Linked DNA regions of Macaca fascicularis. The protein of the gene in region 5 interacts with the protein of the main gene of each other region in a pairwise test. Links are inferred from orthologs where the notes say so. Each region holds a gene or a part of one and is shown on either strand. Other genes may lie near its edges. The genes, in order: YBX1, C1QBP, CHD3, RACK1 and HABP4.

What was found.
Region 1: the proteins of HABP4 (region 5) and YBX1 interact in a two-hybrid assay, tested with the Homo sapiens proteins (2 studies listed by BioGRID and IntAct). The link is inferred for Macaca fascicularis from reciprocal best matches to the Homo sapiens genes HABP4 and YBX1.
Region 2: the proteins of HABP4 (region 5) and C1QBP interact in a two-hybrid assay, tested with the Homo sapiens proteins (2 studies listed by BioGRID and IntAct). The link is inferred for Macaca fascicularis from reciprocal best matches to the Homo sapiens genes HABP4 and C1QBP.
Region 3: the proteins of HABP4 (region 5) and CHD3 interact in a two-hybrid assay, tested with the Homo sapiens proteins (3 studies listed by BioGRID and IntAct). The link is inferred for Macaca fascicularis from reciprocal best matches to the Homo sapiens genes HABP4 and CHD3.
Region 4: the proteins of HABP4 (region 5) and RACK1 interact in a two-hybrid assay, tested with the Homo sapiens proteins (2 studies listed by BioGRID). The link is inferred for Macaca fascicularis from reciprocal best matches to the Homo sapiens genes HABP4 and RACK1.

What each region holds. Positions count from the first base shown.
Region 1 is NC_088375.1:192,171,663-192,176,805, reverse strand, and holds part of YBX1 (Y-box-binding protein 1), read left to right. Parts: intron 1-1,200; coding exon 1,201-1,290; intron 1,291-1,618; coding exon 1,619-1,921; intron 1,922-2,152; coding exon 2,153-2,235; intron 2,236-5,143. UniProt on the Homo sapiens protein: DNA- and RNA-binding protein involved in various processes, such as translational repression, RNA stabilization, mRNA splicing, DNA repair and transcription regulation.
Region 2 is NC_088390.1:5,501,392-5,507,037, reverse strand, and holds the start of C1QBP (complement component 1 Q subcomponent-binding protein, mitochondrial), read left to right. Parts: upstream 1-1,757; 5' UTR 1,758-1,852; coding exon 1,853-2,084; intron 2,085-2,667; coding exon 2,668-2,818; intron 2,819-5,646.
Region 3 is NC_088390.1:7,922,277-7,927,911, forward strand, and holds the start of CHD3 (chromodomain-helicase-DNA-binding protein 3), read left to right. Parts: upstream 1-1,978; 5' UTR 1,979-2,115; coding exon 2,116-2,275; intron 2,276-2,412; coding exon 2,413-2,489; intron 2,490-2,615; coding exon 2,616-2,834; intron 2,835-3,390; coding exon 3,391-3,562; intron 3,563-5,635. Other genes in the region: TMEM88 (transmembrane protein 88), read left to right, coding at 1-64; NAA38 (N-alpha-acetyltransferase 38, NatC auxiliary subunit), read right to left, coding at 714-826, 998-1,181, 1,367-1,447.
Region 4 is NC_088380.1:188,336,160-188,342,009, forward strand, and holds the start of RACK1 (small ribosomal subunit protein RACK1), read right to left. Parts: upstream 4,004-5,850; 5' UTR 3,900-4,003; coding exon 3,791-3,899; exon of another isoform or gene 3,779-3,790; intron 3,504-3,778; exon of another isoform or gene 3,436-3,503; intron 2,452-3,435; coding exon 2,280-2,451; intron 1,998-2,279; exon of another isoform or gene 1,919-1,997; intron 1,804-1,918; coding exon 1,656-1,803; intron 174-1,655; coding exon 78-173; intron 1-77. UniProt on the Homo sapiens protein: Scaffolding protein involved in the recruitment, assembly and/or regulation of a variety of signaling molecules. Interacts with a wide variety of proteins and plays a role in many cellular processes.
Region 5 is NC_088389.1:126,614,671-126,620,602, reverse strand, and holds the start of HABP4 (intracellular hyaluronan-binding protein 4), read left to right. Parts: upstream 1-2,658; 5' UTR 2,659-2,791; coding exon 2,792-3,143; intron 3,144-5,932. UniProt on the Homo sapiens protein: Ribosome-binding protein that promotes ribosome hibernation, a process during which ribosomes are stabilized in an inactive state and preserved from proteasomal degradation.

The DNA.
Region 1 (5,143 bases), on a different chromosome or scaffold from region 5:
CCCCTATGACTGCAGGTAATTGATAGTTGGCTATATATGAAAGGTATGAAAACTATGTGACAGTTTAAATGACAGATGAGATCAATTATTTGACTCAACTCACCCGGTTGTACTGATTCACAAGGTGCCACCAATAGCTTTCATTTTTTTGGAAGTGGTTTCAACATGTAGTTGTTTCCTGGGACTTTGGCTGCTCAGGTCTTAGTGGTGTATCAAGGAGACTGCAGTTCTGGGCAGCTTCACTTAATTGGCCTCAGATTCGTTGGTTGTCCTGTCTCCTCTGCAGTGGAAATGCGTGAGTGATCCTGTAATGGATATAGCTGGGATTTGGAGTGAACATGGAATTTGGAGACCCAATACCTGGGTTTAGAAAGTCTCCTTACTAACTGTGTGACCTTGGGCAAGTCACCTAACTTTAAAGCCTGTTACATTATCTGTAAAATGGGATTAACAATACTTTCACATGTCCTGTCTCATAATGAGATTGAATAGGTAGTAAGTGAAAGAATATTGCAAAAAAATTTCATAGAAACGTGAGATGTTACTCTTCCTCCCTTCTAACAGTCTGAGAAGTAGAAGCAACAAGTCTCTAATACAAGATTTATTGAATGCTGGAGAGGTGATAAGTAACAATTCCATGCAGTCAGATCATATAAAGAATGACATAGTTAATACACGTGAATTGCATTTCCACTGACGTATTATCAGATTGGAAGGGATTTGGGTTGACATTTGTAATTGAGTTTGATATGGTAACACAGGGGCAAAGTTGGTTTGGTCAGCTGTGAAGCATGCAAAACCCAACTCGCCTGTCATCTAAACTGACCCATGTGGGGCCACCTTCTACTATTAAGTGCAGTCTTTAGGGGATAGATGGAGATCCTCATTTGTTCAAAATTACATATAATGCTTTTGCAAAAAGCAGTTTTTAAAATGTTGTGTCTGTCTTGAGTGTTAAATTACTTGTTTTAGTTTTGTAAATAGTGGTAAAATGCTGGGGCCTTGTATGATTGGAGTGTTTTTGTTGAAGTTGGGGATAGCGTGGTCCCTGCTTTCCCAAATTTATTGATGATTTGGTCTTATTTAAAGCAAATCTTAAGTGTATATCCAAGCTAAAATAATATTGACTCTGGTACATTTTAAATGAAAAAGCACATTATTCTCCCCTGTTAATCTGTTTTTGGAATGTGATATTACTAGACTGCCATAAAGAAGAATAACCCCAGGAAGTACCTTCGCAGTGTAGGAGATGGAGAGACTGTGGAGTTTGATGTTGTTGAAGGAGAAAAGGTGAGGATGCTTTTTGTGTAAAGGTTTGACTTCAGTATGGAAATATTTTGGAGGTCTCATCTGTTAGGATGGTGGCTCTAATGTGGATGGATGTGTTCAGGTGACCTCATGAACACAGGTGCATCAAGCCTAATGTTCTGGCTGCAGTTAGAGGGCAATCTCTTCAGAACAGTGAGGAACTGATATTTAGTCATTTCTGTGCACCCCTGGCCACGCAGTCGCCCACCCCCCTTTTTGTTTTCCTTAACTTTGTTTTTTGCTTTGTTTGAAATTTGTTGAAAGTGTTCTGATTTCCTTTGTCACTATCAATATGTAATGGCTTTTGTAGGGTGCGGAGGCAGCAAATGTTACAGGTCCTGGTGGTGTTCCAGTTCAAGGCAGTAAATATGCAGCAGACCGTAACCATTATAGACGCTATCCACGTCGTAGGGGTCCTCCACGCAATTACCAGCAAAATTACCAGAATAGTGAGAGTGGGGAAAAGAACGAGGGATCGGAGAGTGCTCCCGAAGGCCAGGCCCAACAACGCCGGCCCTACCGCAGGCGAAGGTTCCCACCTTACTACATGCGGAGACCCTATGGGCGTCGACCACAGTATTCCAACCCTCCTGTGCAGGGAGAAGTGATGGAGGTAAGTTTCACCATCAGCAACAGCAATGTGATAAGTTCTGGTAGGACTGTTTAGAGCTGTTAATCATATGGAAAGCACCTTTGATTCCTAGTAAGAACTAACAGGATTAATTTATAGTGTAGTCACAGTTACTAGATGGTCTGATTTTTTGTTTGTTTTTTAACTCTGGATTTCCTGGTAAGGTTATTATGTTACTGACCCAGTAGCCTTGATTTCCATTATCTTTTTCAGGGTGCTGACAACCAGGGTGCAGGAGAACAAGGTAGACCAGTGAGGCAGAATATGTATCGGGGATATAGACCACGATTCCGCAGGTATGGTCCACATAAACCTCTGTTAGAACTCAGCAATATCATGCCTCTCCCGCAGACTTTTGGACTCATTTTTCTGTTAACACTTCACGTTTCCTTTCATCAGATGCCTAAGAGGTGAACCTGTTAAAAACAGCTCATATAGATGAGGTCAGCTTTATACATAAATTTTTTTTTTTAAATGATGAGGGTATGGAATTTCAAATTTTCTATCCTTGAACAGGTAAGATAATATTTTAAACCACGTCTTTTAAACCTGCCTCCTCGGTAGGGAGAAAGGAAAGCATTAGGAGTATCTGAATTGTACCATGGCATTAGTGAAGAATCAGCAGTAAGTGTTAACCACTTGAAATGGCATACATAATCTTCCACTAATTCTTAGTTTAGGTATGTACCCCCCCTTTTTTGGAGTTGGGATGTCAGCTCAAAGTTGCAAAATGAAATTGCTCCATGAAGAATTTACATTCTGGGAGGAAAAATCTGGTCTATCATTAGACAACTAATCTATCTGCTTGAATGGGTATTAGAAATCTTATTAATAGATGTCATTATTAGAGTAATGGAGGAAAAATTCCGTGAGCCAAGCGTATTTTAGTCCATGCTGTGGTGTGCTTTAAGGCAGCGTTCCCAGTCCCACGGTGGTAGGATAGAATGGTGTAATCGTTCTTTCTGTGAGGGTTTGCTATTGAAGTATTAAGTTTTCATAGGTGATCCCTAAAATCTGACAGGTACCTCTGAAGAATCAAACCAATACAGTAATAATGCATCTTAACTGATCACTTAAATCACAACTTTTAAATCCCCAAATTTTTAAGTGTCAAGTTTATTATTCTAGAAGTATCCAACATATCCAAAATATACTGTGAGTATATTTTGAGGGGGTTTCTGTATATAGGTTTTTAAATTTTACAAAAGTCGGAGCACTTAGTGTAGTTTTAGGAACTAGGGAATCTAGTTGAGGTTGTATTACATACTTATCAGCACGTGTACATTGAGAGTTTTGCAAGAGCAGCTGATGTCATCATATTTCTTGTGTTAATATATGTCCTGTCCTGAGTTTTCAGTTAAAAGAGCTGGGATCCTAACTGATCACTACTAGAATTGAAGATCTCTGATTCAGTTTTCTGCCAGGAGATTGTGTTAGCCAGATGCTGGATGTTGAAGATAGATGGGTTTTTATTTTTCAAAGTAGATCTAAAATAGGCTCTCATGTATTAAGTCCATGGGTTCCAGCAGCAGAATCTTTGGTTTACCTTTTTGTTACACTGAAGAGCTTAAATGTTTTGCCAAACTAGTTTCATAGATGTCCTTAAAAATAGTATAATATTGTGTTTGTATTCAGTACTTCAGTTCACTGTTGAGCAAATTGTTTTTATATTGACAAACAAGAAGCTTGAGATTGACTTGTCTCTTAGAAAGGTATCTTTATCCATTGTTACCCCTCCAGTGCAAAGGTTTTTGCCATTTCATTTAAGTTAGACTTAATGTCTACGTGTTTCCATGTTTAGAATGCTCAATCCTGCCAGATAGTTAGCAGAAGTAACATATAATTGCTTTGAAGTTATTAATGAATGCTAGACTTTCCAAACTCTGCAGGAATCTTTTGTTCAAATGAGAGTAAATGAAACATGCTGCGCCTAATGCATGGAGTGGTGTGGTAAAATCCTGGCTGGTGTGGGTTCAAGAGCAAATTGAAAGAGAAGTCTTAAGACAGAGTGTAGTACAAGTTTTGCTGAAAAGGAGACAGGTAGTAGGGGAAAATGGGGAGTGAAAAAGGGAGGGTTTTTTTTGAGAAATAATATTTATAGGCTGAAATGCAATCGAGGATAACGGTTGATGGCAGGAAAGTGACTGCTGGAATGTTTTCTTCCTCAGAGAGAGTTGGGTTTTGCCCACAGGTGAAAATGTTGACCTGTTGTTAGAAACCTGATGTTTTCATGTGTAAGAAACAAGAATACATGGGCAAACATGTTTAATGGGAAGACATGGAAGCCTTTGTTTGCTCAATTGAGTCAAAAGAAGAGGAAGTTTGAAAAGTTTGGGGCAAAGAACCCTGTAGCAGAGAAAATAGAGATGGTAAATTTGTAAGTAATAGGATAACAATCATAAATTAGAAGTGAGTTCACCCAGCTTGGCTCTGTGTTTCTAGCCATTTGAGCATCAGGCTCAGATTGGGCAGAGAGTTGGATTTCTCTGGCATTGGTTTATCCAGACTTAGACCCTGGGGTAGGGATTGGTCATATGATTAATGGTGGACTTTATACTTGGATAAAGAGGGGAGAAAAGGGGAACATGAGGGGTTTTTAAAAATTGTGTTGTAGACATGGAGTTGCACTGTGTTACTCAAGCAGTCTTGAACTGCCCTCAAGTGATCCTCCCCAAGTGTTAGGATTACAGGTGTAAGCCACTGTGCCCAACCTTGGAGTGAGATGAACAGGTGATAGGATCGCTGTATTACAGGTCCTAGATGAAGAATGAGAAAACAATAAGGAATTAACTAGGAAAAATCAGAAGGTACATAATTGGAAAGGTGGGTAGTATAACTGAGAAAACCCAGGTAGAAAACAGCTGGACTGGGAGGTCGGTCTGAAAGCCCAGGTTATTAGAAGCTGTTATCCTCGAACCTTAATAATAACTGCAATAAGAAAAAGATAGTAAATGGAGCAGAATCCAAAATAAGATGGAACGCCTACAGTTTTTAGAAGCTAGGAGAGTTGATTTAGAAGCCACAATAAGGTTAGAACAGTCACCACTGGAGGGTTACAGAGAAAAGTCAGAACAATTTTGTTGAAGATTCATCATGAGTTCCAAAAGATGTGGGGAAAGAGTTTTAGAATGTACAAAGGTAAATGTGAATTTATTCCCATGATAACTGATAGATACTAAAGGCCTGGGGCTTTCTGGAGTGCTC
Region 2 (5,646 bases), on a different chromosome or scaffold from region 5:
TGTATATGATGTGTATGGCTTGTTTCTTGGGTCTCTTTTCCATTATTCATAGAAAATTATTTAGAAAATATTAAGTGTTAGTCTTATCATGAGTTAGTAAGACACACCTTCTTAGTAGCTTGTATATCCTGGGAAGGTAGGATTGTTGGTTCTTAATCTAAATCTGAACCCCATTTCTGGGTTCTATGAATTTAGTGGAGCAGCTCACAGAACTCAGGGAAACACTTTTACCAGTTTCGTATAAAAGATATGACCAAGGATACAGATGGAGATGAGCAGGGTGGGGAATAGGGAAGAAGCTCCGAGCTGCCACGTCCTCCCTGGGCCACCACCCTCCAGGAACCTCCGCGTATTCAGCTATCAGAGGCTCTCCAAACCCTGTCCTTGGGTTTTTATGGAAGCTTCTGGACCTATCTAAATGATACAAGCCGGCTTCTTGTCCCCAGAAAAATGATGTTCCATTAGAACTTGGATGCAGGGTCGGAGGTGCAGAGAGGGAAGGTCACAGAAATTACTCATGGATCCTGCCCTTCAGGATGTCACAGTCTGGTTGGGTTTAACCCGGTTAAAACCAGCAATGCCAGGAGGTTTCTGTTGAAGAGAATGAAGCCTAAGGGCTGGGTGCGCACAAGCATGAGTTCTAAGCCGATGGAAAAAAGGAGGTTCTAGGAAGGCCTCTTTCAGGAAAACCCTGACCTCTTCCTTTGCTCTTACAACAATCAGCACAGAAGAGTTCTGTGACCAAAGGTTTGGGTTTTTTCCCTCCACACTAAGCAGCAGACACCAGCGGGGTGTCCTCCAATTCAATCCCAACATTATCTACCTGGAGACAGTGTCAGATCCCATGAGACAGTGTCAGATCCCATAGGTTGAGGGCTCAGTCCCCAAGACCGCCCCGACCTTCAGACAGCAATGGCAAGTCTGGGCCTCTGAAACTTCCGACCAGCCCGCTTCAAGTGGGGGTTCCCACGACCCCCCTCTTTGGGTTGTATTAACTCACTGGAGCAGCTCACAGAACTCAGGGAAACACTTTTACCGGTTTCATATAAAGGATATTACCAAGGATACAGATGAGGAGATGAGCAGGGTGGGCAGTGGGGAAGAAGCTCCGATCTTCCTCGCCGTCCCTGGGCCACCACCCTCCAGGAACCTCCACGTATTCAGCTATCAGAGGCTCTGCAAACCCTGTCCTCATGGGTTTTTATGGAAGCTTCTGGACATCAGCATCCCTTCCCCCAGGGCATAGGGTGGGACCTTCTCTGGGAAGGGACTTAAGACCCATAATCAGAAATGTGGGAGATTAGAGTCCTGCATTGGGGCGGGTGAAAGGAGGGCGGGAGAAGGGGAGAGTGAGAGTCTGTTTCCTGAGGCCTAACACACCCAACATTATCACAGAACACTGTAACGAGGGCTATGGGAGTTACGACCCAGGAACTGGGGATGAAAACCAATAAATACATAATATAACACCACAGCCTCCTAGAGGAAAGTGACCGTGTAAGGGGCTGGTGAGAGCTGGGGGAAGACAAGAGTGCATTCCACACAGCCCAAAAGCCTGGCGTGCCTTGAAAACAGTAGGTGGAAGCGGCCACTAGAAAGAATTAAACAGCTTCGGACAGAGGACTCAGGCCAGCGCAGCAAGAAGGCTCCGGAAACCGGATTCGAGGCTTCCCGGGCTGCACCGGAGGCCTCCAGCAGAAGGCGCGATTCCGCCTGGGGCCTTAGGTCCTCAGTGCGCCGGCGCGGGAAGCGCTTCCGGGCAAGGGCGGGGCTTCCGGCGGCGCTTTAGGTCGCGGGGTACTTGGGCCTGGATTGTCCTTTGCATCTGCACGTGTTCGCAGTGGATTGCGCGATGCTACCTCTGCTGCGCTGCGTGCCTCGTGTGCTGGGCTCCGCCGTCCCCAGCCTCCGCGCTGCCGCGCCCGCCTCGCCTTTCCGGCAGCTCCTGCAGCCGGCGCCCCGGCTGTGCGCCCGGCCCTTCGGGCTGCTCAGCGTGCGCGCAGGTTCCGAGCGGCGGCCGGGCCTCCTGCGGCCTCGAGGACCCTGCGCCTGTGGCTGTGGCTGCGGCTTGCTGCACACTGAAGGTGAGGTTCGCGCACGCGGGCCAGGGGTGTGGTTTGCGGTTCACGGAGGGGAAAAGACCAGGAGTGGGGCCTGCAACCGACCTCCGAGGTCTGGGACATTTTTCCATTGATTGGCAACCAGCGGGTTAAACCCACGTGTGATCATATTCCCCCCACCTCCCCTATCCACCAGTTTCATTTTCTGTTGGTAGGGGGGTGAATAAAATTAAATACTAGAGGGTACCTTCATCCTTAGTCTTATTCTCTCGAAAGTGGACTTTTGGGAAAGCCCAAGGTCGTGTTTGAAAATAGCATACGATACAACTATCGTTTGGCAAGTGGAAGAGGATGATCGGAAATTCTTCTGCTTTATAGCGGAAAGTGGTAATGCGTTCATTGTTGGAAATCACTTTTCCAGCATCAGGCTCAGCTTCCCACTAATATTATGGTATTTTTACAGATAAGGAAACTGAGGCTTCTAGAGTAACTGTAATAGCAGAGAGATTAGAAATAGTCCAGGTTTCTGGCTGCGATAACCAGGGTAATAGTTTTATGTTTTAGACTAACTGGCTTTCCTTTTTATGTATATGGATTTCTTTTCTAGGAGACAAAGCTTTTGTTGATTTCCTGAAGGATGAAATTGAGGAGGAAAGAAAAATCCAGAAGCATAAAACCCTCCCTAAGATGTCTGGAGGTTGGGAGCTGGAACTGAATGGGACAGAAGCGAAATTAGTGCGGAAAGTTGCCGGGGAAAAGTAAGTACTGGTCTGGGGATCCCAGGGCACCGACTCCCTTAACCTTGCAAGACCCGTCCTGGGTCATCCCTAGAAGAGCCTTGAGTTCAGGTGTGGATAAATGGTTTTCAAGAGAGTGAAGGATTCAATTGGACAGCTTCATAAGGTCCAGGCAGTCCATTCACTGAACACAAATTTGCTGTGGGCTGGTTACTAAGGAGACAAAAATGTAGCGCAAAAAAGTACTGACAGAATCTGTTTGATCTCTGATTTACAGCGCTGATACAGTAGCACCCTGCTCTCTCTAATGTTTAGCTTGGGTGAAAATGCAAGGCATGTAACTTATATGTAACAGGATGGGGTTCCACTGTAGTAAGGGCTGCCATCAGAGGCGGGGAGTTTGTGACCTAAGTCAGGTGCCCCACCTTCTCCTAAACTGTTAGTGTTTACACTTTTCTGCATTATAGTCATCCATAATCTCATTACACAGATAGACATTTGTCATCTTCCAGATTTTTAAATTGAGGCTGGGTGCAGTGGCTCACGCCTATAATCCCAGCACTTTGGGAGGCAGAGACGGCAGATCATGAGGTCAGGAGATCGAGAACATCCTGGCTAACACTGAAACCCTGTCTCTACTAAAAATTTTAACAGGGTGTGGTGGCAAGCACCTGTAGTCCCAGCTACTCAGGAGGCTGAGGCAGGAGAATCGCTTGAACCCCCGGGTTTCAGTGAGCCGAGATGGCGCCACTGTACTCCAGCCTGAGGGACAGAGCAAGACTCCATCTCAAAAAAATAATAAATAAATAAATAAATTGAATTTTCTTTATAATTGACCTTATGATGTATATGTAATTCTTTTTTAAAATCACAGCTTTAATGTGATTTAATTTATATGGCATAAAATTTACCCATTTATTGAAGTTTATTAAATTAAGTGGTTCTTAGTCCTCACAGAATTATGCATCGGTTACCACTACCTAATTCTAGAACATTGTTGTCAATCCCCAAACAATACCTATTAGCAGTCACTCATTATTCCTCCCTCTAGCCACCCCAGGTAATCACTAAGCTACTTTATGGATTGCCTCTTTTGGACATTTCATATAAATGGAATCATACAATTTGTAGCTTCCTCCCCACCCCACGGAGTCTTGCTATTACCCAGGATGGAGTGCAGTGGCACGATCTTGGCTCACTGCAGCCTCTGCCTCCCGGATTCGGACAATTCTCCTGCTTCAGCCTCCTGAGTAGCTGAGATTACAGGCATGCGTCCAGTTAATTTTTGTATTTTTAGTAGAGATGGGGTTTCGCCATGTTGGCCAGGCTGGTCTCAAACTCCTGACATCGTGATCCGCCCTCCTCGGTCTCCCAGAGTGCTGTGATTACAGGTGTGAGCCACCCTGCCCAGCCTGTTTACATTTTTAATTGTTGGGTTGTAAGAGTTCTTTAGTTTTGACCGGGCACGGTGGCTCACACCTTTAATCCCAGCACTTTGGGAGGCCGAGGCAGGTGGATCACAAGGTCAGGAGATCAAGACCATCCTGGGTAATGCAGTGAAACCCTGTCTCTACTAAAAGTACAAAAAATTAGCCAGGTGTAGTGGCGGGCGCCTGTAGTCCCAGCTACTCAGGAGGCTGAGGCAGGAGAATGGCATGAAGCCCAGAGGCAGAGGTTGCAGTGAGCCGAGATCACGTCACTGCACTCCAGCCTGGGCGACAGAGTGAGACTCTGTCTCAAAAAAAAAAAGAATTCTTTAGTTTTTCTGGGTATAGTGATCTTACCAAATTAATGATTTGCAAGTATTGTTCCCCATCTTGTGGGTTTTCTTTTCACTTTCTTTGTAATGCCCTCTGACACAAAAGTTTCTGATTTTGAGGAAGTTCAGTTTACCTATTTTTTTGGTTGCTTGTGCTTTTTTTAGTGTCACATCTAAGAAACCACTGCCTCGCCCAAGGTTGTGAAGATTTATGCCTTAATTTTTTCAGAGTTTTCTAGTTTTAGCTCTTAGTTGAGGTCTGTGATTCATTTTGAGTATGATGTGAAGTAGGGTACCAATTCTCTTGGCTATTGTGTAGTGTGGTTTTTCCCTACACAGGTCAATTGTGTCTTCTGTAATCTCACCTAAAAACCATTTGCACAAGGTTTTCATAGCTATTTGGGGGCCATTAAAAATAATGCTCTGACGAACATCATTCCATTTCTGTGCCCAGGAGCTCAGCTTGGTCAGCACAGTTGGAATCAGACAGATTGTGTCAACCTCAGACTGCCTCTGTTACTATGGAAAGGTGACTTCCTGGCAAAGCAGCTAGTTAGCACAAGTCGAGGGGGCGGTACTTCATGGAACTTGTATGGAACGGTGCCTGCCAGAGTTGCATAGTCCAGCAGTTCTGGTTCTAAACTTTATCTCCCAGGAATTTTGACTCAAACTTTGGGACATGATTTCTCAGGTGTGGATTCTTGCACCTTAAAATTGTCGCTAGTTGGTGTCTCTGGCCTGCTTTGTGATGATAAAACTTCCCACAAGTACTCTGAAGGATGACTGTCTACTACAGCCGTTTTTTTCTTTGTGAGGCATCCGCTTCCCGAGGCCAGGGCTGCTCTCCGTGTTTAACAGATGCAACCCTCCATTGCTCCTTCTTCCTTTCCTTGCAGGGCAAATTTTCTTATGGGGAAAGGCTCTTAAAGGGGCTTCTGTTCCATCTCACCAGCCTCCCAGGTCCTTACTTTCACCAAGGGTTCCTTGGAAAGACCAGGGTGGGCAGTGTCAGCTGGCTGTGGCCATGAGATGCCCAGTCAACACATGGCAGTGAGCCCTGGGGTACTGGCCCTGTTGGGAGTAACCCATG
Region 3 (5,635 bases), on a different chromosome or scaffold from region 5:
TCCTCCAGTATTTCCGGGGCTGGGGGGCGGGGCTGGAGGGGAAGGAGTGTCCACGCATCAATAAAGATTTAACGAACTCAACGTGCTCTGCAAACACAGGAGTGGCACAAGTACTATCACCCCTGCCCTGTGCCGAGGAACAGGAAACATGTGCCAGGGCCACAAATGAGCAGAGAGGAGCATCCTTCAGCCCCCTGGCCTTATCGCTTTTGTCCGTTCTTCCTGGCCAGAACTCAGAGATCTGTCCCTGACCCCAGGCACCTCCCCATCAATAGAGTGGAGGGGGCCCAGCCTCGGCCGCCTGCCCCTGCTCCCCTTGGGGACCTGAGCCCGTTCTCTGACCCCAGCTTAAAGGAACTCGGTGTTGCCAGGCCGGGGTGGGAAACAATGGGCCTTCCGGAGCAGGATGACACCCCCTCCCGCCACAATTCTGGAGCAGCAGCGTGGGAGGGAAGATGCAGGGGCCCACCCTGGGGCCTGTTGGTGCATCATTCAGCCCTGTCCCCCATCTCTACCCCTGAACTTGAGAGAACCTTTGGCACCCCTGGACATCCCGGTTGGTAGAGGAGGGTTGAGGGTGCTCCCGACTTCAGATGAGTCCTTTCCTCTAGGGGTGGGGTGTCCTATCCCTGTACTGGCATCCCAGCTACACACAGACACAGGTCCATTCGGTCGTAAGTTTAATGAAGTCTGAAAAGTATGCGCCACCGTGGTCAGAGATATGGAGGCCCGGTCAGACTCTCCCTCTGCACCTCAATGGAAACGATGTGGTGTCCGGGTACCATGGCCAAGCCCAGCACACGGGGCTCCCCGGCAGAGAAGGAATCTGGAAAGAAGGATCAGAGGATCAGGGAAGCAGGCCGGCATCAGTACCGCCCCTCTGAGCCACAAAAACGAGCCCCAGAAAACAAGGGCTGCAGCCAGGCCCTGAAGGGGAAATGCCTTGCGTAAGGTTCCGCCACATTTCCAGGCGGGTGTGCATTCCCCAGGCACTGACCCGACGGCTTGAGGAACTCCTGCGCCGAGCCCAGGATGACATTGCAGTCACGGTCAGTGCAGAGGAAGCAGCCCACCAGTGTCCGTCCATCTGTCATGCGAATGCGCATAGTTTTGTTGAGCAGCGCCTCTAGCTGCTGCCGGGCGCGCGCAGCCGCCGAGTCCTCGCGCTCTCCGTCCGAATCCTGCGCGGGGTGGAACAAGCGCTCAGACCGCGCAGTCCCGGCTGCCCGCCCGCGGAACCACAGCTCCCGGCAGCCCGCGGGGCGCTCACACAACGCCCAGAGGCTGCCGGGAGCTGCAGTTCCCCCACCCCCTCCATCTTGCTGCTCGACTGCCCCTCAATCCCAGAACCAGAGCCCGTGCTAACCCCGGCGCTGGAGCTGCTCTGACGCCGACTGCAACAGCCATTCTCTTCTCGTAGCAGCACGGTCGGTCCAGCTCCGGCCATTTGCCCGGAGGCCTCCTCTGGGCCTTTCAACTTCCTAAGCACCTTTCAGGTTGGGTGGTCCGAGATCTCGCGAGCGCTCCCGACCGCTTTCCTTTCGCGAGATCACCTCTCCTCCACCTCCTAGTCTCCTCGGCAACGGCAGAGATCTCGCGAGCTTCTCCTACTTCTAGCGCTGTGGCTCACTGAAGCGTACCACGCCGGATGTCTTACGATATCGCGAGACCTTTACCTCTACTTTCTTACACATCCTTTAGAAACTCTGGAATTTAGCGAGAATACACTCTCATACTGCCTCCTCCCTTGTTTTTCTGTCTCAGAGAGATAGTCTGTCATAAATATCCCATGTAGCCCAGGCCGCTAAATTAAAACGGAGCGTATTCGTTTTCTGCCCACCCCCAACTCCTGAAAGCGGCGCAACTCAATTACTTGATCCTTATATGCCCCGTGTGGGACTCATACTACGTTTCCCGTGAACACGTGCGGTCCAAGCCTCACCCCCTGATATTTATCTCAGTGGACGGTGGCCGGAAAAGGACAATGGTTTCCATGTCAGCGGATAAACGCTCTCCCCTCGGCTCCCGGAGGCGACGGAGGTCGTAGTAGTAGTGAGTGCGTGCTGAGGAGCAAAGGAGTAACCAAGAGAGCCAGTGACTGACAGAGCAAGAGCCATGCCGCGCCGGGGCCTGGTGGCTGGGCCAGATTTGGAGTATTTTCAGCGTCGCTATTTCACGCCGGCGGAGGTGGCCCAACATAACAGGCCCGAAGACCTCTGGGTATCTTACTTGGGACGCGTGTACGACCTAACGTCATTGGCACAGGAATACAAGGGTAAGGGTCACACGTTGGGCCGGGGCCGGAGTGTGTGTGTGTGTGTGTGTGTGTATGTGTGTGTGTGTGTGCGGGCGCGCGCGCGCGTCTGCCTGGTTCTTGAAGGGCTGGCATTGACCGTGGCTGCTCTTTTCAAGGGAATCTGCTGCTGAAACCTATCGTGGAAGTTGCAGGCCAGGACATCAGCCACTGGTTTGATCCAAAGACCAAAGACGTGAGTTATGCTGAAATCTGGGGTTGTGGGTAGAGGCAATGGAGAGCGGGGATGGGAAGGAAAAGCGGAGGCTAGCCAGAGCATAATGACTGCTCTGATCCCCTCGCCCCAAACCCTCCTTTAAAGATCCGCAAGCACATAGATCCGCTGACCGGCTGCCTGAGGTACTGCACCCCGCGGGGTCGCTTTGTGCACGTTCCGCCTCAGCTGCCCTGTTCGGACTGGGCCAACGATTTTGGGAAGCCCTGGTGGCAGGGGTCGTATTATGAGGTGGGGCGGCTGTCTGCCAAGACCCGGAGCATCCGCATCATTAACACACTCACGTCGCAGGAGCACACACTGGAGGTGAGAACTGGTGACAAGGAGCAGGTTAGAGGGAATGGGGAATCCCAGCAAATCTCCAGGCCGATCTGCAGGGCAACATTTTTTTCCATAACCAGTGGGAGTGTATTTTCTGCCCTTTACATTGAGGCAACTGAGGAAAGCACAGCACCTAGGTCCCCAGGGTTGGTAATTCTAGGAGTGTCTGGGTCACACGGGGACAAGAGACTCCTTTATAAGCCTGGGAACAGCAGTTTATGCATCTTAGTGATGGTGGTCCTTCAAAACTCTTACACGCTGTTTTGGACAGCAATTGAACTTTCTTTTTAATCTACTCTATTGCACGGATATAGTGAGGGGACACTTGACCCTTTATGGCCATCTGGTAGTTAGAAGTGGCTGCCATTAAGAGCTGTAGGTCTTTTGGGCCTGTTCATTGCATGCTGGAGTTTCAGCTTTTTTTCTGGGGCCGTAGATTACCTGAAGCTGCTATCTGCCAAGGGAGGCACTTTGATCCTAGTGTGTATATGTGTATACTCCATCCAGAATTCTGGGGGTGGGGTGCTTCTGTGTTCTCCAGGTGGGGGTTCTGGAGTCCATATGGGAAATCCTACACCGCTATCTCCCCTATAATGCACATGCTGCCAGCTACACGTGGAAATATGAAGGGAAGAACCTGAACATGGATTTTACCCTGGAAGAGAATGGGATCCGGGATGAGGAGGAAGAATTTGACTATCTCAATATGGACGGTACACTTCACACACCTGCAATACTTCTGTACTTCAATGATGATCTCACAGAGTTGTAGGAAAGGAGACGTACACTCATGTACACTCAAGACATATTTCGAGTTTGGCTTTTTCTGTGCCTTGACGAAAAGTGGTGGGGCGGAGGGGTGCCTGGGCCTAGATCTCCATTCCTCTCTAGCAGCTAGCCTGTGCCCTTCTGAAGTGTAAAGGTCCTATTCCCTGCCTTCATTACAATTTGCTCTGAGAAAATCAGTGAATTAATCTTTAGGAATGATACAAGAAGATCAAGTATCTTGGTTTAGGGAGATGTAGAAGAGGATAGTCAGAGTTCAGGCAGAACTGTTTGATAGTTAAGAGAGAGTAATTCTACAGGGGTGAGGGATGGAAGGACTTTTTTGGCAATGATGGAAATGAGATGTCTGCAGGAAGATGGGAATTACAAAGACAGGAATAGGAAATGTTTATCATTGACCACACAAAGCTGGCTTATCTTACTTGTAGAATAGTATTTGGCAGCTGAAACCCAAGGGAAAGAAAGGAAGTGAGTCATTATAGGCAATTCAGGCTAGATATTATGCTGGGTACTTCATATACCCTCTCCCCCCAACCCCCACAAAGAGAAGGGGTCTTGCTCTGTCACCCAGTCTGGAGTGCAGTGGCAAAATCATGGCTCACTGCAGCCTGGAGCTCTTGGGCACAAGTGATCCTCCCACTTCTGCCTTGAGTAGTTGGGACTTTGGGTGCACGCCACAATGCCTAATTTTTTAATTTTCTATAGACACAGAGTCTCACTGTGTTGCCCAGGCTGGTTTCAAACTCCTGGGCTCAAGTGATCCTCTTGCCTCAGCCTCCCAAATAGCCTCTTCAAGGCAACTACCCTGTAAGGTGGATTACTATTTTACAGATAAGTCCTTTGAAACTTTGAAAAGTTTAATAGCTCAAAGGCACACTAGGTAGTATCACTAGAGCCAGAATGCAAATTCAAGTCTACCCAACTCCAAAGTCCATGTTCTCTCAATATAAAGGGACCATCTCCATGTCTAATCTCATGTTAACATTTGTAACCACTGTTCTCAGAGCAAGTATTTGGGATGTGGCTTTTTCCTAGGCTCCTTGCACAATAGGAAACTGTGGTCCTATTGTACAGTTAGCAGTTATTGTCTCTGGGAGTTTGCAGAGTTCTCCTGTGGCGAAGAGGAGGCAAGGAAGGCTAAGTGTCAGCTAAGCAATAGCTATTGGGGCTACTTCCTTGTTAATCCCATACCCCAAATTTCTTTCCTGACCTTTTTGGGGCAAAGAGGTGGGTATTTACTAACTTGAAGGAAAACTAGAGTGGGGAAAAGGCCAGCAAATTAGTGACACTTTGGTGAGGGAGAAAAAGGAGGCAGTTTGCCACTTGGAGAAGATGAGGAAGACAGGGTTGCAAGATGGTGACTCCAAAAGAGAGAACTTGACAGGGGTAATGTAAAGAGAGATGTTAAGTCAGTCAGAAAACTCTCCTGGTGACCAAAAGAGAACCACTATTGGGGGCAGCGGCTAGATTTGGTCTCCTTTAACTTAAGGAGGGGAGATTTGAGAATGACAGGCAGGTGAACTTCCTGGCAGCAGCAAGCGAAACACAAATCAGGAGGAGTTCAGTGTGCCTTCTGGCAGGGGCATCAGGGCCCAGCGCAGGAGAAGGTGACCCCTGTGAGATGCCGTTGGGCTGTATAGGTGTTCTGAGGGGCTATGAGAGGCATGAACAGGAAACATTACTGTTGGCTTCAGCAGTTATCTGAATTTACTGTGAGGTGGAGGATTTAAATCTAATCCCATGGAATGCAGGAGTCCGTGAATTATCTAAATCAGTCATTTTGATCTTTAATCAACTCTGCAATTACGTGTACCTTGTTTGCTCAATTAAACCCTGAACTATTTAAGAATGAAGGCTATGCTGTTCCTCTAGTGCAAGTCTCAGGGCCTGTCCTGTGCCTACGGGATGTCTTCATTCTGCCAAAATCTGTCCCTCTTCCAGAGACTCCTACTTCAATGCTTCTTGCCGGAAACACATCCTTTTCCTCACACATCCAGTCA
Region 4 (5,850 bases), on a different chromosome or scaffold from region 5:
AGGAGTTGGAGCGTATGACCACCTGGGAGCACAGCACACCCTGACTGGTAAAGCCCCTGCCTTGGCTTGAAGCTCACCTTGACCAGCTTGTCCCAGCCGCAGGAGACGATGATAGGGTTGCTGCTGTTAGGCGAGAAGCGGACACAAGACACCCACTCTGAGTGGCTCTCATCCTACAGAGGATGAAAAGGAAATAAGGGGAAACAGTCCTATCCCATGAAATGCTAGACCCCCCCCCCAGCCAGATGATGGCTGGCAGCACCTTTCAAAAACCCAGAACCCAAACCTTTAAGCTCAACAGAATCCCTTTAGATTCCAGATAAGAATTTCTTTTTAAATTTAGAGACAGGGGTTGGACGCAGTGGATCACGCCTGTAATCCCAGCACTTGGGGAGGGCGAGGTGAGTGGATCACCTGAGGTCAGGAGTTTGACATCAGCTTGGCCAACATGGTGAAACCGTCTCTACCAAAAACACAAAAATTCACCGGGTGTGGTGGTGGGTGCCTGTAATCCCAGCTACATGGAAGGCTCAGGCAGGAGCATTGCTTAAACGCAGGAAGCGAAGTTTACAGTGAGCCACGATTGTGCCATTGCACTCCAGCCAGCGCAATGAACGAGTGAAACTTTATCTCAAAAAAGGGCCAGGTGCGGTGGCTCACGCCTGTAACCCCAGCACTTTAGGAGGCCAAGGTGGGCGGATCACGAGGTGAGGAGATCAAGACCACCTGGCTAACACGGTGAATCCTCGTCTCCACTAAAAATACAAAAAAATTAGCTGGGCATGCTGTAGTCCCAGCTACTCGAGAAGCTGAGGCAAGAGAATGGCATGAACCTGGGAGGCGGAGGTTGCAGTGGGCCAAGATCGCACACTGCACTCCAGCCTGGGCAACAGGGTGAGACTCCATCTCAAAATAAATAAAAATTTTTATGGATGGGGTCTCACTGTGTTGGCCAGGCTGCTCTCCTGTCCTCAAGCAATCCTCCCACCTTGGCCTACCAGAGCATGAGCCCAGCCAAGACTTTAAAAAGGCAGAGAGCCGGGCACGGTGGCTCACGCCCGTAATCCCAGCACTTTGGAAGGCTGAGGCGGGCAGATCACCTGACGTTGGGAGTTCGAGACCAGCCTGACCAACATGGAGAAACCCCATCTCTACTAAAAATACAAAACCAGGCGTGGTGGCGCATGCCTGTAATCCCAGCTACTTGGGAAGCTGAGGTAGAATTGCTTGAACTCGGGAGGCGGAGGTTGTGGTCAGCTGCGGTCACGTCATTGCACCCCAGCCTGGGCAATGAGCAAAACTGTCTTTAAAAAAAAAAAAAAAAAAAGGGTAAAGATATGCAGGCCATGGTGGCTCACGCCTGTAATCCCAGCACTTTGGGAGGCTGAGGCGGGCAGACTGCCTAAGCTCAGTTCGAGACCACCCTGGTGGTGCGCACCTGTAGCACCAGCTACTGTGGAGACTGAGGCACCAGAATCACCTGAGCCTGGGAGGCAGAGGTTGCAGTAAGCTGACACAGCGCCACTGCACTTCAGCCTGGGCGACAGAGTGAGACTGTCTCAAAAAAAAAAAAAAAAAAAAAAAAAAAAAAGTAAAGGTTAAGAGAGTGGGAGAGATCCTTGGAGATGTGCTCTCTGACCATGGCCTCACTTTACCTGGACAGTGTATTTGCACACACCCAGGGTATTCCATAGCTTGATGGTTTTATCTCGAGATCCAGAGACAATCTGCCGGTTGTCAGAGGAGAAGGCCACACTCAGCACATCCTTGGTATGGCCCACAAATCGCCTCGTGGTGGTGCCCCTAAGAGGGAGGACTTTGTCATTCTCAGACTTAACAAACATTCTCATTCAAGGGTCAGACTGATTCCTGGGCCTTGTCTCTGTCTCATTGCATTACTCACACATATATGACAGAGAATCCCTTCAGAATTGCAGGACATGTCCTCACTCCCACATGGGGATTGGCTGACAATGTCATCTGTCATCACCAGGACCCTCTAATTCCACCTGCCAATCACCTCAGCTTTCAAGGTAAAACATGTTCAAACTGCTGCCTACTCAAAACTGTCGCACCTGGTAGAAATGTTCAACCACACTCCTCAGCAATCCTGAGTAACTAATTCAAAGCGAGGGAGGCCAAACATCTTCTGTAGGTGCAGTCTGCTTTCCAGTTCCCAAATGGACTGGATCTCCCCTGGGAAACCAGCCAATTGCATCCACCACATTTCTGCCCAGATTTTTTCCCAAGGCCCCAGAGCTAAGTGAGCAGCTACTTGCGTTGTGAGATCCCAGAGGCGCAGGGTTCCATCCCAGGAGCCTGAGAGGGCAAACTGGCCATCTGAGGAGATAACCACATCACTAACAAAGTGGGAGTGACCCCGCAGAGCACGCTGTGGAATTCCATAGTTGGTCTCATCCCTGGTCAGTTTCCACATGATGATGGTCTTATCTAAAAGCGGCCAAACAGAAGAAAAACCAGTGAGGAACCCGCAGCCAGTTTGTTAACACACTGGATAATTCACTAAGTGTCAAGGTCATGAGTGGGTTAACAACTAAGGATGCTTAAGGAGGGATGGAACAACAGACTACAAGAGCAGTTACAGGCCAGGACTGAGTGGCTCTATTCCAGACTAAAAACGCACGCAGAGCTAAACTGTACCGTGATAACTCTTTTTTTTTTTTTTTTGAGATGGAGTCTCACTCTGTCACCCAGGCTGGAGTGCAATGGCATGATCTCGGCTCACTGCAACCTCCACCTCCCGTGTTCAAGCAATTCTCCTGCCTCAGCCTCCCTAGTAGCTGGAATTACAGGCCGCCCCCAGCACGCCTGGCTAACTTTTTTTTTTTTTTTTTAAAAACTAGAGATGGGGTTTCACCATTGGCCAGGCTAGTTTCGAACTCCTGACCTAAGGTGATCCGCCCGCCTCTGCCTCCCAAAGTGCTGGGATTATAGCCGTGAGCCACCGTGCCCGGTCTGTATCCTGAGAACTTAATTTAGGTGCCAGAAATTACAGACACCCTTTCCTGAAACTCAGACGAACTCAACAGCCACCACGTATCTTCTCTGCAACCGAATGCACAGCAGTTCGTGGCTGTAGAGTAGCTGGGGCCTCCCATGCCTCCCTCTGAGGGCCGACAGAAATGTTATAATGAATGCTGGAAAAGCCACTTTAGGCGCTACAGGATCGGATGCTTTTACTGAAACCTGTCCCACTCAACAATTTTACGATTAACAGCCAGACACGATTCAAGAGTCACACAATTCTTAACAGTGTAGGAGCAAAGGGGAAGCACAACAAGTGTCCAAACGCAGTCAGGCACACAGGGATAGGGACGGGGAGGGGAGACCCAGGGGCAGAAAAAGTAGGACGAGACTTGAGCCACGAGGTCCTCTGGAGTCCACCCGCCTCCCCACGAGCCTTGGGCCGGGCGGCAGCTCAGAAACAGCCTCTGGATTTCAGCACCGACACTCAGATGGCATGTTGGGGTCATCACCGCCCCGCCCGGGCCGTAGGCCCCCGACCACACTACGAAGGGGAAGGCAGAAGATGTTTTAAAAGTTTCCAGCTCTCCAACCCTAACAGCCACGAGCCGCTCTACGTCTAGGTCCTCATCTGCAATGTGGCTCGCCCGGGCTGAGGCCTAGGCTCGCGTCCGCACGCCCCAAATCACAGTGAGGCAGAAAAGTTTGTCAGTCCCCGACAGCGCGCGCGCCACCGGCCTGCCCGAACCACGCGGAATCCCCCAGCCCTGCAATCTCGGGTCCTGAAATCTACCTTAGTCCGTACCTCGAGAGGCGGACAGGATCATGTCCGGGAACTGCGGGGTAGTAGCGATCTGGGTTACCCAGCCGTTGTGGCCCTTGAGGGTGCCACGAAGGGTCATCTGCTCAGTCATGGCGGCGGCGAGCGCGTGTGTCGCTGCAGCGACGAGGATGGCACTGGATGGCTCAGAGAAACGAGCAACACAGCCGCTACCGCCGCCGCCTTGCAGTGAAAGAGAGAAGCCCTCTGCCGGAACCGGAAATACCCACTCGACCAAGTAAAATGGCGAGCCCCATGATACACTTCTGCTCAAGATGGCGGCGCCATGTAATGCAAAAGGCAAAGGGAAATTGCACGGCATCACAGTCCCCACTTCCGTACAACATAATCTGACAGCGCTTTATAAATACATTCTGAAACAAGCACATTCAAGTGTTTAAAAAGGCTTCTCAGGGATGATGTAGAGCGAGAAGCGAAAGAGGTGAAGTGTACGGCACATTCCCATGAGGACTCCCTGGCGGCTTCCCCGCCCCTATGTGGCGTAGCTCGAGCTCCGCCTGTTCCACTTGGTGCGGGGAGGGTTGACGGGGCAACCACAGGAGAGCTTAATTTTCAGTTCACTATCGTGGGTAACGATGGGCAATTTAAAAAAGTATGGCATTAAAATTTTAAAAATAAACTTTAAAACTGTGCTTCCGCGGGACCGTCCTCCCTCAAGAGGTTTTTGTTCTGATGCACACCAACTCCGGAAGGACTTAGTCCAGGCTGGACTAAGGCAGGAGAGGGTTACTCTGGATGTACTAAAAATTGGTCTCTTTTTGCCGGGCGCAGTGGCTCGTGCCTGTAATCCTTCCACTTTGGGAGGCCGAGGGGGTGGATCACTTGAGGTCAGGAGTTCGAGACTAGCCTGGCCAACATAATGCAACCTCTTTCCAATAAATAAATAAATAAATAAATAAATAAATAAATAAATAAAATTAGCCAGGTGTGGTGGCGGGTGCCTGTAATCCCAGCTACTCGGGAGGCTGAGGCAGGAGAATCCCTTGAACCTGGGAGGCGGAAGTTGCAGTGAATCGAGATCCCGCCACTGCACTCCAGCCTGGGCAGTAGAGCGAGACTCCGACTCAAATAAATACATACATACATACAATAAAATAATAAGGTGAAAATTGCCCTGTGTGTTGCTAGACTGCCAATCCATTCCTGCCTAGGTCAGAACACGGGAAGCTCTCGCAGAAACGGAAACGCCCAAAGGAGGACCTTAAAGTTCTGACTTCTGGGGACATCCACTGGAAAGCTCTCTCTGGGCCCAGTCACTGCACACAAAAGCCCAGGCGTCTGGGGGTCCAGTTGCACCCTGAAGGACGTGCCCAGACAGGGAAGCGGTGGAATACGGATACCTAGCTGTCCTTCTGCCTTCCACTCTACCTCAGGAATTTAAACAAGTAATGACTCTCATTCTCTCACATCTGACTATAAGAGACAGTATTGGGCACCGTGTCTCTTCAAGTAGTTTTAAACAGGGGGACATATCAGGATGATAGCAGCCACCAACATCTATGCAAAATAAAGATGTCACATTTCTATTTGTGACATCTATCAACTTTTGTTTCTCATCTGTGAAATGAGATTGGAAATAACATTAGTATCTACATTACATGGTGTGGACAGTAAAGAAGCAAATTAAGCGCCCTGAACAACGTCTGGCAGAGTAAATGTTCTGAAACTTAGTGAGCACCTCTTGGGTACCAAGCCTTATTTTAGGTTTTGGGGACAAAGCTGTGAACAAGACAGATGGGGGACTCTGGTTTATTTGCAGCTTACTTCCGGCGGTATGCGAAGAGGGGAGAACATTGGAGCAGATACACGGAGAGAGCACTGTGGGTATATGGGAGAATAATGTTCCGTGGAGGGACGTCGTGTAGGGGAAGAATGTTTCAATCGGAGGGAAGAGTTAGTGCCAACGTACTGAGCTGGAGTGTGGAGGGGCTGAGGACAGAGCAGTGAAATGGAGGGCGCAGTTAACCTACGGCCTTGAAGGCCTGGAGAAGAACCTTGGCAATGTCTGCTAGAAAGCCTGCGTA
Region 5 (5,932 bases):
GGCATCTGTGACTTGGAAATGAGGCGGCAGTGCTCACAGGGCATGCTTTAAGAACTTACAGTGGCTGGTTATGCTGGAAGGAAGATAAGAAGAAAACGGGGGAGCAGGCTAACTCCAGATGCCCAGTGGGAAGACGACAGGCCCTTCTCTCACATGGCCATGATTCCTTGGTTTTGTGGTTTGGTGAGCAGTTTAAAGATACCAAAGATAACTTTAGCTTGAAGCAGGGCTTCTCAAAGTGTGGTCTCTGGTGCGTGGAGTGATTCTGGTTCATTGAGATAAATTTACTATTTTTACAAAAAAAATTTACTATTTTTACTAAATTTTACATGAAATGTACTATTTTTACAATTTTAAAGTGTATAACTCAGTGACATTTACTAAATTTACAATTTTGTGCAACCACCTCCACTATCTTGTCCCAGAACACTTCATCGCCCCACGGGAAACTCCCAGGCCCATTAAGCAGTTACTTTCCAACAGTCCCGACCCCCACGCCTGGCAACCACCAATCTGCTTTCTGTCTCTATAGATTCTGGACATTTCATATAAATGGAATCATACAACGTGTGGCCCTTATTGTCCGTCTTTCACTTAGCACTACGTTTTCAAGGTTCATCCATGTTGTAACAAGTATCAATACCTTTTTATGACCAAATAATACTTTTTTGTACCACATTTTATTTATCCATTCATCGGGTGACATATATTTTAGTTGTTTCTGCCTTTTGGCTATTGTGAGTAGTGCTGCTGTGAATATGTATATACAAGTTTTAGTTTGAACACTTGCTTTTAATTCTTTTGGGTAGAAAGTATAGGCATTAATCTTTGCTCACTCAAAAGGAGGTGACCAAATATCTTAAATTCTTCAATCATTCAACAAATATTTACTGAAAACCTACTCTATAGCCGTCTAGAACTCCAAGCACTGGGAATAATACATACTGCAATGAATAAGACAGGCATCATCCCTGTCCTCCTTGGGAATAACACAGAATTCAGTAAGTGAGTAAAACACAGACTTTGCCGCGTTTAGGATTAGGAATTCCTTTTCTATTTGCTATTAAAGGAAAGTAAAAGCTGGTCACAGAGCACCTGGCAAGATGCTCTAACTGGATGCTTTCAGATGAAACAAGCAAACACAACTAAGCGCAATCAATCTGTTATCTTACATCATAAGCCTCAAGCGGGGAGGTTCCCAAGTGGGTCCAGTTGGCAGCTTAACATCATCAAGGATCTAGGCTTTCTCCATCCTGCTCTGCCATCCTCATGGCCACACTAAGGAACAGCCAACCTCAGGCATCATATCTTCTTATGGAACAAGGACCAGGGAACGGAAGTGGGGCAGATCCCTTCTCAATCCCTTCTTAGGTGCAAGAAAAACTTCCCCAGAATACTTCTCCTCAGATCTGTTCTGCCTGATTTGCCCCACAGCCTATTCCTAAGCCAATTATTGGCAAGGAATTGGAATCAGGTGCAGTGAATTATAATCAAGTTGGAGGCTGGAAGGGGCCTGCTTCCCCTGGGGAATATGATGCCGGAACATAATACAGGCTCTGGAAAAATGTAAGAGGGAAAGAATGGCTGTAGGATAGGCAGCCAAGCGTAGCTCCACTGGTGCCTATGCAAGATTTCCTGGAGGAAGTCCAGTCCAGCGTTCTCTAAGCTCCAGGCCTCAACTGAACATCTCAAAAGAAAACAAATATCCAAACCTCAACGTGTCCAAAACTGAATTCATGATTCTCGTTAAAGTAGTGTCTTCCAGTGGTGACTAATACTACCATTCAGATGCTGGAGCCAGGAAAATAAGAGTCACTATATCTTCTTCTTCATCACCACATCTAGCACATCACCAAGTCTTTGAACCCATCTACTCTCTTCACCTCCACCGCCACCATCCTAATCCCAGTCATTATCAGCTCTTCCCTGGAGCTTCGCAACAGTCACGTTTGGCTTCCCAGCATCCATTTGTATTTCCCTCCAAACTATTAGTTCACTGTGCAGGTAGGGTGGCCTTTTCAAACCCAAATCCGCTCATGCTCAAAACTTGCTTCCCACGGCTCTTAGAGACCACTTTGAGCTTGAACAGACTGTGCACATCCCACCTCAAGACTGCTGCACTTGCTGTTCCTCCTCCGACCCCTTGTCACCCCCCTCCCTCGGCTTAACTGTCACTTCCCAATTAGGTCAGGTCCCTTTGCTGCAGCCCGTGGAGAGCTCTGCGCCTGTCCTTCAGGGCACTTTTTCTCCATCCACAGACTCAGATCTGTGACAACACGGAGCTAGTATTTCCTACAACATCACGCCTGGCACACGGTAAGTGCGCAATATGCAGCTGTTGCACGGCTAAATGTATACATAAGCTTCAAAGCAGAGTGGCCGAGAGCAAATACAGACGCAGTCACGGGAGAAGGCACACACCGCCGAGACACCACCGCCACTCCGCGCCGCCTGGACCAGCCAGTAGCTCCGCCCCTGGGCCCCGCCCCTCCCTGCTGAGCGGAGGGGGCGGGGCTCAGAGGTCGCGTGACGTGACAGCAGCCGGTCGGTGATTGGGTCTCCAGGCGCGCCGTCTCGGGAAGGGGGCGTGCCCGCGCGCGCTGATTGGCTGCCTGGCGCGGTGGGGCGGACGGCGGCGGCGCCGCGGGGGCGGGCGGCGGGAGGGGCCGGACCGGGTAGGGCCCGGAGGGCGGCGGCGGCGGCGGAGCGGGCGGCATGGGTCCTCGCCGCCGGCTTCGCTGAGACGCGCTCGCGTGGGCTGCCCTCCCGGGCCCGCAGTGGTCGCGGCGGCATGAAGGGCGCCCTGGGGAGCCCCGTGGCCGCCGCCGGCGCCGCGATGCAGGAGAGTTTCGGCTGCGTGGTGGCCAACCGCTTCCATCAGCTGCTGGACGACGAGTCGGACCCGTTCGACATCCTGCGCGAGGCCGAGCGCCGGCGCCAGCAGCAGCTGCAGCGCAAGAGGCGCGACGAGGCGGCGGCGGCGGCGGCCCGGGCCGGTCCCCGCGGCGGCAGGAGCCCGGCCGGGGCCTCGGGCCCCAGAGCCGGCGCGGGCGGCCGGAGGGAGTCGCAGAAGGAGCGCAAGAGCCTCCCGGCGCCCGTCGCTCAGCGGCCCGACAGCCCCGGGGGCGGCCTGCAGGCGCCGGGTACGCGGGGACGGCGGGGGTAGCGGGCCACGGCTCGCCCTGCGGAGAGACTGGGGTCCCGGGGGCCGGCTCCAGGAGGGGGGACCCGGGAGGAGCCGGGAGAGTTGAGGGTCCCGGTGGCCGCCGAAGGTAGGAGGAGCGGGGCGGGGGTCACACCCCTTCCAACCCTCGCCGGCCGCGTGCGGGGCCCCGGGGGAAACGCTGGCTTGGGGGGGTGGGGCCCCCGAACCCTGGCTCGGAGCCGCTACGGCAAGTTGGACGAAGTTGAGGGAGGTTGCCGGGGTGGCGTGTGGGGGCGAACGCTGAGGTCGCTACTCCGGGACTCCCGCATCCAGACCTGGCGGGGACCTTCTCCAGCCTCCAGCCCCGCCTCTGCGGGAGTGAGGTCGGAGCCACCCGAGAGCGCGGTGGGGAGGAGGAGGGCGCCCGGTCCCGGGGCTGGGGGCCTCTGTGATGCGGGCGGCCTGGGCGACCGCGGGGCGGCCTGTGACGTCGGGGCCCGGGCGCGGGTCCTCGGCGCTGTCCGGCCTGGCGCCTTCGCCCCTTCCCCGTCCGGTAGCTTCCAGCAGGCAGCGGGCATCGTATTTCAGTACTTCTTGTGGTGCTGATGGGATGTGCAACTTATAAATAGCTCCAGGCTGCTTTAAGAAAAGCGTTTTTAACCTTTCCAGCCAGAATATCCGGAGTTCCCCACTCTCTGTTTAGCAAGAAAAGCCAGTGCGCAGCGTGGTGTCCTGCTGCCTGCGGACGGGGAGGGAGTTCGTGCTCTCACCTGAACTGCGTCAGTGGCAGAGCCAGCAACGCTCCACCTGTGCTTCCTCTGTTTTCTTGAAATGAGGCAGCGGTCCCAAGGTTTGCAGAGCGTTAGGAGTGAGATGTGTAGATTGACCATTCCTGCCAACGCTTGGCGGAGTGTGCAGCGTGGCTTGCTGGTTTGTTCCTTGCTTGATAAAAATTGTGCATCGCAGCCCTGAGGAAACGTCTCAGGTTTCAGTATTGGGGCTTTGATGCGCAGCTGGGTAATGTTTACCTTTGTTTGTGAAAAGTTAAATCCAGAGTCATCACTTGTGAGAATCAAGTCACTACAATAAAGATGTTGAAAATGATTTAAAAAAAAAAAAAAAGTTATTGACTATCTCACGAGCCTTTGATAGGCCAGTAAATTTCTGAGCAGATTATCTAAACAGACTGGAGATACATTGTGCATTTTATATCCTGTTTTTTATGTTTTTCTCTTAAATTTATTTACATGAATATAATAAAAGAATTGAGGAAGGCTAAGCTTTTCTTCACCCTTTATTTTTTCACAAATGAAAATGCTGGGCGCGGTGGCTCACGCCTGTAATCCCAGCACTTTGGGAGGCCAAGATGGGCGGACCGCGAGGTCAGGAGATCGAGACTATCCTGGCTAACACGGTGAAACCCCGTCTCTACTAAAAATACAAAAAGTTAGCCGGGCGCGGTGGCAGGCACCTGTAGTACCAGCTACTCGGGAGGCTAAGGCAGGAGAATGGCATGAACCCGGGAGGCAGAGCTTGCAGTGAGTCGAAATCGCACCTCTGCACTCCAGCCTGGCGATAGAGCGAGACTCCGTCTCAAAAAAAAAAAAAAAAGAAAAAGAAAATACGTATTCTGTTCTTCAGAAAAACGTGAGACGAGTTAGTGCTGTTAATACATTGATTTTTAGCCTTTTAAAAATTGTCATGCATTTTTGTATTAAAAATTTTAAGCAATTCCAAAATGTATGAGGTTAAGTGAAAATCCTCTTATTTTTCCTACTGTTAACACTTTGCATTTATATACATAAATGCACAGAGCTATTTCTTTTCTTTCTAAACTTAAGTGATATAAACTGGGTTGCAACCTGTTTCCTGCACTTAATGTTGTCATGTAGTACACTTATAACTTTTTTTTCTGTCAGTTGTTCAGTCTAAGTGATCTGGCTTTTGAAATCAAAGGTATTTAGTTGATTTTGTAGTTAGAATGGAAATTTTATCATTCAAGTTCTTTTTCAAGTATGTGTTATTTCAGGAGCAAACAGCTCATTAATTTCCATTTATGTAGTTACTGTACTAAATTTATCTATAATGGGTGTCAAAGAGCTATTCTCTCAAGGTTTTATAGCCCTAGTTGATATGAAGCACTGTACTTTTCTAACATTCAAAATTTTTGATTTAGTTAGAATGTTGTAAGTGAATGCTTAGCATAGACAAAAATAAAACATGTTTGACATATCATAGAAATGTTAATCCTGAAAGAATGTGGAAGTCACAAGCTTTTCCTATGGAAAAGGGTTGTTTTTTTGTTTGTTTGTTTTGTTTTTTTTTTTGAGACAGAGTCTTGCTCTGTCGCCCAGGCTGGAGTGCAGTGGCATGATCTTGACTCACTGCAACCACCTCCTGGGTTCAAGCGATTCTCCTGCCTCAGCCTCCTGAGCAGCTGGGACTGCAGGCGCGCGCCACCATGCCCAGCTAATTTTTGTATATTTTTTACTAGAGGCAGGGGTTCACCATATTGGCCAGGATGGTCTCGATCTCTTGACCTCATGATCTGCCTGCCTTGGCCTCCCAAAGTGCTGGGATGTGAGCCACCGTGCCTGGCCTAATTTTTTGTATTTTTAGTAGAGATGGGGTTTCACCATGTTGTCCAGGCTGGTCTTAAACTCCTGACTTCAGGTGATCCGCCTGTCTAAGCCTCCCAAAGTGCAGGTGTGAGCCACGATGCCCGACCAAAAATGTAGATTTTTAAATGTCTATCTGTCTAGCAATATATATAAACCCTTGGGTGAG